Saccharomyces cerevisiae S288C: one gene and its partners. The gene in region 3 interacts genetically with the main gene of each other region. Each region holds a gene or a part of one and is shown on either strand. Other genes may lie near its edges.

Region 1 (3,124 bases), on a different chromosome or scaffold from region 3:
CCGCAATGTGATAGGCCGCCCAAACAGCAGTTCTACAGAATTTTTGGACGAGACACTACTAGCTCCTGAAGACCAAGTAGTCATATACATGCCCGAGATCGACAAGGAACACATGGGTGGCACGATGAGATTGGGTTTGAGGCCTACCATTTTCCAACCGAACTCAGAATGGAGCAACATAAGGAAGCTTTATGGTGAAGTTAATGAGGTGCATGAGAGACATCGTCATCGCTATGAGATAAACCCGAAAATAGTGAATGATATGGAGTCTCGTGGCTTTATTTTTGTTGGTAAGGACGAGACGGGCCAGCGTTGCGAAATATTCGAATTGAAAGGCCATCCATACTACGTGGGCACTCAATACCATCCAGAGTATACATCGAAGGTGCTGGAACCATCAAGACCGTTTTGGGGGCTTGTGGCCGCAGCCTCCGGCACACTTGGTGAAGTGATCAAGGACATAAATCTAAGCGAGGGAAATGAAAATGAATGAATTGATGCGCTTACTACTTACTTACATACGGTTTTTATTCAAGTATATTATCATTAACATTAGTTGGTTAGACCAATGACACCACAGGCTGGTCTTGGACCGGCATTACCAGTCTTCAAAGATTCTTCAGTGTCACCCTTACCTAAGTCATCTTGGCCGGCGTGGATAACGACGCTTCTGCCTACAACGGAGGTAGGACCGATAAGCTTGATCAAAGAGTCCTTGAAGGAGCCCTTGGCCACACCATTTTCGTCCGTCTTTACGTTACCCATGTCACCGACATGTCTGACTTCGTCAGTTGGAGCACCATGTGTCTTCTTGAAAGGATTGAAGTGAGGACCAGCAGAGACACAACCATTGGTGGCATCTCCAAACTCATGAATGTGGAACCCACGTTCTGCGTTAGGACTGTTACCAGCGATCTCGTAAGAGACAGTGGTTGGCTCGGATTCGGAAGCCTGTTCGAACTTGACAACACCAGAGACACCGGCATCACCCTTTAACACTGCGACTGCTTGAACCATTATAAATTAATTATGTTTTATTTGTTTGCGCGATTGCTTTCTTGCCTGTTTTTCCGCAACATAGTTACAGCTAAACATTTGCCCAAAACCATCTTCTTATATATATATCTGCGATGGCGAGCCCAGCGGAAGGGATGTCCGCTTACTAATTCCGACACACCGGTTTAACCCCCCGGCGTGCTGGGGTGGGTGCCCCTAAGGGAGCGGGTTCTGTACTTCCAGTAAGCGGCATTTGCGCTGTCATCGCCTTATCGAACCCGCTACTGAGATCATGTCCTGAGTGGGTGAGTCGCACGCCCAATCGGCTGCACTTCAGAGATACTTACGTCCAATTTCGCATCATGCCAATATTACCTGTGGAAGTTGAAACTTTTTTTGCAGATGCCGATAATTTTCACATGGATGAGTCGCAGTGTCGTCGTACGTGATGAGGGCAGGCTTGAAAATTATTCTTCGAGCCCAATTCTCTTTACTTATAGGCATGCCATGTCTAATTAGGTAGTCATCTCAGTTTATCTTGTGCAGGGTAGAACCAAAGATAACAGCAAAAGAAAGAGCAAGCAATTATGACCGCACCATTGGTAGTATTGGGTAACCCACTTTTAGATTTCCAAGCCGACGTCACGGCTGAATACCTGGCCAAGTATTCTCTAAAGGAAAACGACGCAATTTTGGTCGATGCCAAATCAGGCGATGCTAAGATGGCTATTTTTGACGAGCTCTTACAGATGCCAGAAACAAAGCTTGTTGCAGGTGGTGCTGCTCAAAACACTGCTAGAGGGGCAGCATACGTTTTGGGCGCCGGCCAGGTGGTGTACTTCGGTTCCGTCGGTAAGGACAAGTTCAGCGAGAGATTGCTTAACGAAAACGAAAAAGCTGGTGTCAAGTCTATGTACCAAGTTCAAAATGATATTGGTACCGGTAAGTGTGCCGCATTAATCACTGGCCATAACCGGTCCTTGGTCACTGACTTGGGTGCTGCCAATTTCTTTACTCCAGACCACTTGGACAAGCATTGGGACTTGGTCGAAGCAGCTAAGCTCTTCTACATCGGTGGTTTCCACTTGACCGTGTCTCCAGACGCTATCGTTAAGTTGGGCCAACATGCTAAAGAGAACAGCAAACCTTTCGTGTTGAACTTTAGTGCTCCTTTCATTCCTCATGTCTTCAAAGACGCATTGGCCAGAGTTTTGCCTTATGCTACCGTCATCATCGCTAACGAATCGGAGGCCGAAGCCTTTTGCGACGCCTTCCAATTAGACTGTGCCAACACTGATTTGGAAGCTATTGCTCAAAGAATTGTCAAGGACTCTCCAGTTGAAAAGACTGTCATCTTCACCCACGGTGTCGAACCAACAGTGGTCGTGTCCTCCAAGGGTACCAGCACATATCCAGTCAAACCTTTGGACTCTTCTAAGATCGTCGACACCAACGGTGCTGGTGACGCCTTCGCTGGTGGCTTTATGGCTGGGTTGACTAAAGGTGAAGATTTGGAAACCTCTATTGACATGGGTCAATGGCTAGCTGCTTTGTCTATTCAAGAAGTTGGTCCCTCTTACCCTTCCGAAAAAATATCTTACTCTAAATAGATTCTTCTTACAATATAATAGAAATAAAATATACTCTACGTGTTCCCTCTAGCTTTTCATTCGTAGACATGTTTACCGCTTGTTCTTAAACCAAATAAGCCACCGTTACCACAATAAGGAAAAGAGGCGCTATAAAGTACAGCTTCAAGAAAAAAGGACAAGCAGCGCTAAGAACAAAATACTCGTTCATCCTCTCCACATACGGCCGTACACAAGCAACAATAACACAATAATATGGACTGGGCAATCAATGTCGCCCATCCACGATTACTTTACAAGGATCCTAAACTTTCAGTAACGTTTATTGTGCCGAGCTTATTTCATATCATTATTGCTTTCGTGTTATTAGGAATATGTGCATCCGATTTTCTTTGCCCCAACGTGGCCCATATATCAGATCCCAACAGCCTTCGATCGAATGGTTCTTTAGTCTCAAAAACGGCGTCCCATGCATCTCATACTGGGGCATTAATGGCAGTTCTACTATCTTGGTGTAACTCTTCGCCTGACCTATTTTC
Region 2 (3,759 bases), 300 kb from region 3:
GCCAAGAAAAAAATATAAGGCATGAGTCTAAATTTTTCGACTTTGATGACCCTGTTCACTTATCCTTAATCAATAAGTTACTAAGGTATTATTTTGATGAGATCAATCCTGTTTTCAGTATCATTCACGAAGCGACATTTTGGCAGCAATATAACAATAAATTTCTACGGCAAGGTAAACAAAATAATTCATCTGCGAATCTATTCACTTCCATGCTTTATCTAATTTTGTCTACTACACTAAGATTCAGAGAAGGGCATCTAGATGGTCAGAAAGGGCAAGGAACCTACAGTAACACATCCTTAAATATCACATTCGAGGAAAAATCTATTTTGATCAAAAAACCCTCCATAGAGGAAAATTTATTCAAATACGCTTATTTAATAATCAACACGCTGACCTTTGAGTGGGAATCATTCGAACTAATACAATCGTGGCTTTTGATAACCTTCTATTTCAGAACCTGTTACAGACAGACGGCGTGCTGGAACGCGTTAAGTCAAGCGGTGAACATGTGTAATGGGATGAGTCTATATTTAAACAAATTTCCTGAGATCCATTCCACTTATGATGAATCAAAAGCATGGCATTGTTTCTGGTGTTGTTTTATAATGGATAAGTTGATAAGTTTTCAAATGGGTCGATTCTACCAACTATCATTACCCGCGAGCGAGATGTGCGAACAGATGAATCTAGTGAAGTCAAAGAAATTTTTACAAGAAGAAGATGATTGGTTTCACGAAGAGACTTTTCAAATGCTTGATTTGTCCATAATAGTGACACAGTTTTTAAAAAGAGACGCACAGGATTTAAATTTGAACGAGACCGTGCAATTGCGCAGCCAACTTGGTCAATGGTATGACACCTTTATAGTTGGAAGTCAAACCAATGCGTACGACGACAATTATCGTTACTTCTATCAAGTTCAACCATTCATGACATACCTGGATATAAGGCTGACTTTCGAAGTAAGACAATTATTTTGTCTAATCGCCCCCTCATCTACCGCAAATAATAAATCCCTAGAATATGTCGTCGATACTGAATTGTTAATTTCTCATTGTCAAATGGCTATTGAAAATTTGGCTGAAATTACGAGAAGTAATCTTTTCTTTGTTCCGTGGTGGTTAAACCTTTCTCAACTATTCACGGTAAATTTAATATGTATTATCTACCTGCACGCAGGGATTGCCGTAACTCAAAATAAAGCTATCATGCAAAGCTGCCAAGAAATATGGCGAACCTTAGAGTGCTCTAAGCCAAAAAATCGGCCTTCAATGCTTCCTGAGTGCTTGTGGTGTTTGAAAATGCTGAATCATATGTTCTGCATACGACTGAGAGATTCTGCTTTGCAATTGGAAGCTACTCTCGGAACTGATCATGGTGATGACACCCCTAATAGAAATAAGTTTGAGCAGTTCAAGAAAGTTGGCGATAATGATGCGGATGTTGAAGTTGATGCTGGTGAAAGAGAAGAAAATGCTGATGAAAGACAAGAAAATCCACATAACAATAGCAAAAGAGTACCATTAGCTACTAGGTCTCATAATACCACTAACTTCGACGGTTCAATCGCAATTTCTCCGGAAAGTGCAGTAGCAAATCTAGGTACTGATACTGGATTGCCCTCAGATGTTCTTGATACTGTCAGTAAAATAGGGAACTCTCCTAATGTGTTTGATGATGATTTATTTTCCAATTTATTATGGTTTGACCAAAATTTTGCATAAGGATTCTTTTTCTATTCCATAAAACCATTTTATGGACACGTTTACCTACATATTATTATATTGTATATAAGATGTTGAAAAAATTGAGTCAACCTCACCTTACCACATGTTGGTCCGTTGCTATGACAAACTCTCGTTTTACAAGAAGGAGGCTCAAATTTCGGGTCACCCACCCATATACGGATGTCACGCTATGAGATCTTTTAAACAATAGACAATTTTTGGTATCCTAAAGATATAAAAGAGGAGTTTTTTTAAACCATGGTAACTATTTTCAAATTTGCTCTGCTGCAGTTTTTTATTTCTGTTTTTCTTTTTTTGTTCCCAACAAGAAGTGAGTTAATAAAGGCAAAAACAGTGGTCGTGTGAGAATGAATACAGTTTCACCAGCCAAAAAAAAGGTTATTATAATTGGTGCCGGTATTGCTGGGCTTAAAGCTGCATCTACGCTACACCAAAACGGTATTCAAGATTGTCTTGTTCTTGAGGCCAGAGATCGGGTCGGTGGTAGGTTGCAAACTGTCACAGGCTATCAAGGTCGGAAATATGATATAGGTGCTAGCTGGCACCATGATACGTTGACAAACCCTTTATTTTTGGAAGAGGCTCAACTGAGTTTGAATGATGGGAGAACGAGGTTTGTTTTTGATGACGATAATTTTATTTATATCGACGAAGAACGTGGAAGGGTAGACCATGACAAGGAACTGCTTCTTGAAATTGTGGACAATGAAATGAGCAAATTCGCAGAGTTAGAATTCCATCAACACTTAGGAGTTTCAGATTGCTCCTTTTTTCAATTAGTAATGAAATACTTACTACAAAGACGCCAATTTCTCACAAATGACCAAATAAGATATTTGCCACAACTCTGTCGATATCTGGAATTGTGGCACGGCTTAGATTGGAAGCTTTTGAGTGCCAAGGATACATACTTCGGTCACCAAGGAAGGAACGCCTTTGCTTTGAACTATGATTCTGTGGTTCAAAGAATTGCTCAAAGCTTTCCTCAAAATTGGTTAAAGCTAAGTTGTGAAGTGAAATCAATTACACGAGAACCTTCAAAAAATGTGACAGTGAACTGTGAAGATGGTACTGTGTACAATGCTGATTATGTTATTATTACAGTACCTCAAAGTGTATTGAATTTGTCTGTACAACCTGAAAAAAATTTACGGGGAAGAATAGAATTTCAACCACCCTTGAAACCAGTGATTCAAGATGCTTTTGACAAGATCCATTTTGGAGCGCTAGGTAAAGTAATTTTTGAGTTTGAAGAATGTTGTTGGTCGAACGAAAGTTCAAAAATTGTAACTTTGGCTAACTCTACCAATGAATTTGTCGAAATAGTACGTAATGCGGAAAATTTAGATGAATTAGACTCTATGCTAGAAAGGGAAGATTCTCAAAAGCATACGAGTGTTACTTGTTGGAGCCAGCCTTTATTTTTCGTAAATTTGTCAAAAAGCACAGGAGTAGCAAGCTTTATGATGTTGATGCAGGCACCGCTTACAAATCACATAGAATCCATTAGAGAAGATAAAGAGCGTCTTTTTAGTTTTTTCCAACCTGTGCTGAACAAGATTATGAAGTGTCTAGATTCTGAGGATGTCATCGACGGAATGAGGCCGATAGAAAACATTGCAAACGCTAATAAACCAGTCTTAAGAAACATCATCGTTAGCAACTGGACACGCGATCCTTACTCACGCGGTGCTTATTCGGCCTGTTTTCCAGGAGATGATCCAGTTGATATGGTTGTTGCAATGTCTAATGGTCAAGACTCCCGCATAAGATTTGCAGGCGAACATACTATCATGGACGGCGCCGGCTGTGCCTATGGTGCTTGGGAAAGCGGAAGACGGGAGGCGACTCGAATCTCTGACTTACTGAAATAGAATCTATTTTTTCGAAATTACTTACACTTTTGACGGCTAGAAAAGGATATACATACATATTAAAATTTTTAGTAACACTCTGTGCTTTTTCAAAAATTTGAGGTACACCTAATTCTCCCACTTGTTGCTTA
Region 3 (3,759 bases):
TCTGTGATAGATAGAAACCTGATCCAATAGAACATGTGAAGGCTTTCGGAAACTTAAAAATGTATGAGCCCTGCTCCTGTGTCGTCTTATAAAGTTTTATGCCATTGGCTAAGATGAAATTAGGCTCAAATATGAAGTCGCTTTGTGAACCATCATGTAGAGTGTTTCCTGCTATCTTATCTTCTGGAAATGAATTTTTTGAATTATCTCCAGTGTTTGAATAGTCAGCAGATTGTTCTGCATCCAAAAATGACTTGTAGAAATCTGTTTCTATAAAGCTCTTTAATTCGTCATCGGAGGTGGAGTAGCGCGGCCTTGATTGGATAGTATCCCATTCACTTTTTCCTCGAGCAATTAAAGCTTCGAATTTTTCCATATCTTTCGGCGCAATACTGTACACCAACTTGGTAGAACCTAAATGATTGAAATCAATTGAAGGTAAAAAATGATCCGAAACAGACCAACCTTGACAAGAAAACAACATTCCAATATCATAAGTGGTTCTCGTAAAATTGGCCATATCCAGATCAAGGTGTTGTAAAAGCGATAGTTCATTGAGAGGAATGTTGTCTAAATTCCACTGGTCTAGAATATTCTTAATGGCAAACTTTTCATTGGACGAGTTGTTTCCTGGTGATCTCATGGAACAGGGTAGTCCAAGACCGGTGTCAATTTCGAAATCTATAAAGTGCTCCGATAGCAAATGAAAGTATAACCTCTCGAATTCCTTTTGAGGTAATGTTGTGTGTTTCGCAAACAAATCAGGATAGCTACTCCCAAATTTCGCTACAATAGCAGTGAAAACAGCCAGACTTTTTTCGTAATACTGTCTCAAATTGTATACTGGAGAGGTTTTGGTTTCGTATTTGCTTTTATCGTATATTTCCATACCATTCTCCCAAAAAGTAAAATCATAGCCCGGTAATGTGGTCTCTGTTGACTGTGTATAGCCTAGTTTAAACTCAGTTAACGAGTTAAAATAAGTCGGAAACCCTTTTATGTGCTTTATGTCCCGCATTCTTTTAAATTCATGATTAATCGATCCGGCTCTAAAGACATCGCGGTGTATTTTAGCTTTTTTATGAAGTGGCTCCTCTTCGTCCCTACTTCTGCTATTTGAGTGACGAAATATTTCAGATTCCACCATGTCTTCATTTTTTTCGTTATTACGAGCAGCTTGCTCTTCTTCTTCATATATGTCAAAGTCTAATAAAATTTTTGCATAGGCAGATCTTAAAGAAGTTGATAACGAACTCATAATCCTGCCCGAGTAACCTAATTCTCTTCCAATTTGCGCCCATAATTTTTTTTCGCAAACAGCATTGAAGCCTCCCCTCAACTTCACACAACTCCTCAGTCTATATAAATCCAAGGTGCGTTTATCGATACTTGGGATCCTTGTGAGAGTACTCTTTTTGATTTTATTGTGAAAATTATACAACTTCGCATAAAAATCAACTATCTTGGTTCTTTGAAATTCATTCGAATTGAAAAATTGTTTTCTTGCTTTAAACCAGAGGCGATCTACATCAACATTTAGTTGAGTAAATTTGTCAGCATCTGGTATAATTTTCAACTTAACACATCCATAAACTGACCCTAAGTCTTCCACTAACTCATAAAATTTTATGGGGTCCGGGAGTTCTTTTTTGGCTAAAATAAATGTTGGAATAGAGTGTGGAGATATTTGATAAAATAAACCCGTCTTTTCATGAAACACTCTTGCGGGTACACCCTCCGGTAGCTCAACTAAATCTACAGATTTTATTGTTTCAGGTGCAAACGGTGCTGCACCACGAGATTTAAATTGCGTATAGAGAAATGGGCTAAAATTATGATTTGAAGTAGGAATTACAGCACTCCGCGGCGATTCCCATTGTTTAATCGAAGGTCGCTCCTGTATCTCTAATTCGATGTCTGCAATTTTAGAGCTTTCATGGAACCCGTTTTGTACCATTACCTTTTCGTTAACCGGTTCATTCAGGATATGAGATATTTTTGTAACAGAATCATGCCCACTCATTATAACTATGGAGATGGACGTACGAACAAGAACATACACGATAATCTAGAATTTGGAACAAAAAGCGAAGTTATTCAATATTATTTTCCTCCGAAGCGCTACACCTCCAGCGCCCTTGAGCTTAAAACAACCTTTATCTTCCACGCTGATGTAAAGTGTAGTTCTTATTTTAAGTGATGATGTTCACGAACTATGCTCGGCCACCGTTCACACATGCCGAAGATTTGAGTGTCACATCAACAGGCTTTCGGACGACTGAATACCAACAGCATCAAGCTGATTTGGCATCATTGTATGCATCATACAAACGTAATAAAGCACGGATGGAAGTCTTAGATATGACTTATATATATTCGTAGAAGAAAATTCGCTAAAATAAGCACTTATTGATTTTGAGTATAAAGAACATAAACATAAACAATTCATAAATAAACCATTAAAAAAATAAAAGGACTTGGTTAATTGCGCCCAAAAAAACGTAACATTATTTTTTCATGTTTTCGTAAGTCTTCCAATCGTTCGCAATTCCTCTGCCAGCGTTCATCTTTGTTCCAGATTGATCATGGCCCATCTTCATTCCCCCTTCGGACTGATCATGACCCATACCCATGTCCATGTTCATATCATCCCTTTCCTTGTTGGAGGATTTGGCGTTCTTTCCCTTCTGATGGGAATCATCGTTACCTTGTAATTTTTCAGCGAACTTATTCATCATGTTAGACATCTTGACTATACTTTTTTATATACCTTTCTACTAAAGTAAAGAGCACAGATACAAAGATTAAAAATGCCTAGGGACAAAACTTTGGGGCAGAATTGGGAGCTTTATATATGTTTGTGATGTTGATTCTGAGGGATGATAATTGCCCTCTCAGTCCCATCATTCTTTACACCTCGTACTGTATTCATGATCATCTATCCATTTTACATACCGCTCCCTTTAAGATACGTTTATTCGTAACTCCCATTTACCAATCACTATGAGCCGTCCACGTTTCCAAAAAAACCTAAACATATGATGCAAACCTCCAATGAGACTCAACGTAACATGCAAGTAAATACAGAAGGTTAAGAGATAGTTGTCTTAAAGGGGTACCGAAAGCATTTAGGGGAGGCTTAAGGGAGGGTGCCGATCCTATGAAGTATTAATACGTAATGCCAAAAGGAATTGTTGAACATCTGAAGTGGATAGATTAATCGTACAGTAATCGTACAGTACTATGTCTTACTGATGTCGGGAATCTCAGGGGCGACCGCCCCCGGCTAGAATTATCTATATAACGGTAAAAAGAATAAAACTCTATTCTAGTTCTCGCCATTTACCTTGACTTTAATGAACCAATAAAAGAAATTTCTACAACCAAGACATCCAGAATGAATACAGACCAACAAAAAGTGAGCGAAATATTTCAGAGCTCAAAGGAAAAATTGCAGGGCGATGCAAAGGTAGTGAGTGACGCTTTTAAGAAAATGGCTAGTCAAGACAAGGACGGCAAGACTACCGATGCTGATGAAAGTGAAAAACACAACTATCAAGAGCAATACAACAAGCTCAAAGGGGCGGGGCATAAGAAGGAGTAGCTCTGTTGTCCTACTATCGATTATTTGTGCCAGCGGGCTCTGTTAGGTTGAGGGTGGAAAGTGTAGAAAAAGCAGACCTATTTGCCAGCGGATACATAGCCACAGCTCATACATAAAATTTTCATACTTAAGTCTAAACACAATAATATATTTTT

Evidence for each region.
Region 1: of ECM5 (region 3) and SOD1, changing one enhances a phenotype caused by changing the other (phenotypic enhancement), as found in Saccharomyces cerevisiae (2 studies listed by BioGRID, with this or other methods).
Region 2: mutations in ECM5 (region 3) and FMS1 together harm fitness more than expected from each alone (negative genetic interaction), as found in Saccharomyces cerevisiae (2 studies listed by BioGRID).

Annotation. Positions count from the first base shown.
Region 1 is NC_001142.9:621,998-625,121, forward strand, and holds SOD1 (superoxide dismutase SOD1), read right to left. Parts: upstream 1,018-3,124; coding exon 553-1,017; downstream 1-552. Other genes in the region: CTP synthase URA8, read left to right, coding at 1-493; ADO1 (adenosine kinase), read left to right, coding at 1,584-2,606; ECM27 (Ecm27p), read left to right, coding at 2,841-3,124. UniProt on the Saccharomyces cerevisiae protein: Destroys radicals which are normally produced within the cells and which are toxic to biological systems.
Region 2 is NC_001145.3:313,276-317,034, forward strand, and holds FMS1 (polyamine oxidase), read left to right. Parts: upstream 1-2,101; coding exon 2,102-3,628; downstream 3,629-3,759. Other genes in the region: STB4 (Stb4p), read left to right, coding at 1-1,730. UniProt on the Saccharomyces cerevisiae protein: Involved in the production of beta-alanine, a precursor of pantothenic acid. Multicopy suppressor of fenpropimorph resistance.
Region 3 is NC_001145.3:610,004-613,762, reverse strand, and holds the start of ECM5 (Ecm5p), read right to left. Parts: upstream 2,024-3,759; coding exon 1-2,023. Other genes in the region: YMR175W-A (uncharacterized protein), read right to left, coding at 2,255-2,449; SIP18 (Sip18p), read right to left, coding at 2,508-2,747; PAI3 (Pai3p), read left to right, coding at 3,398-3,604. UniProt on the Saccharomyces cerevisiae protein: May be involved in cell wall organization and biogenesis.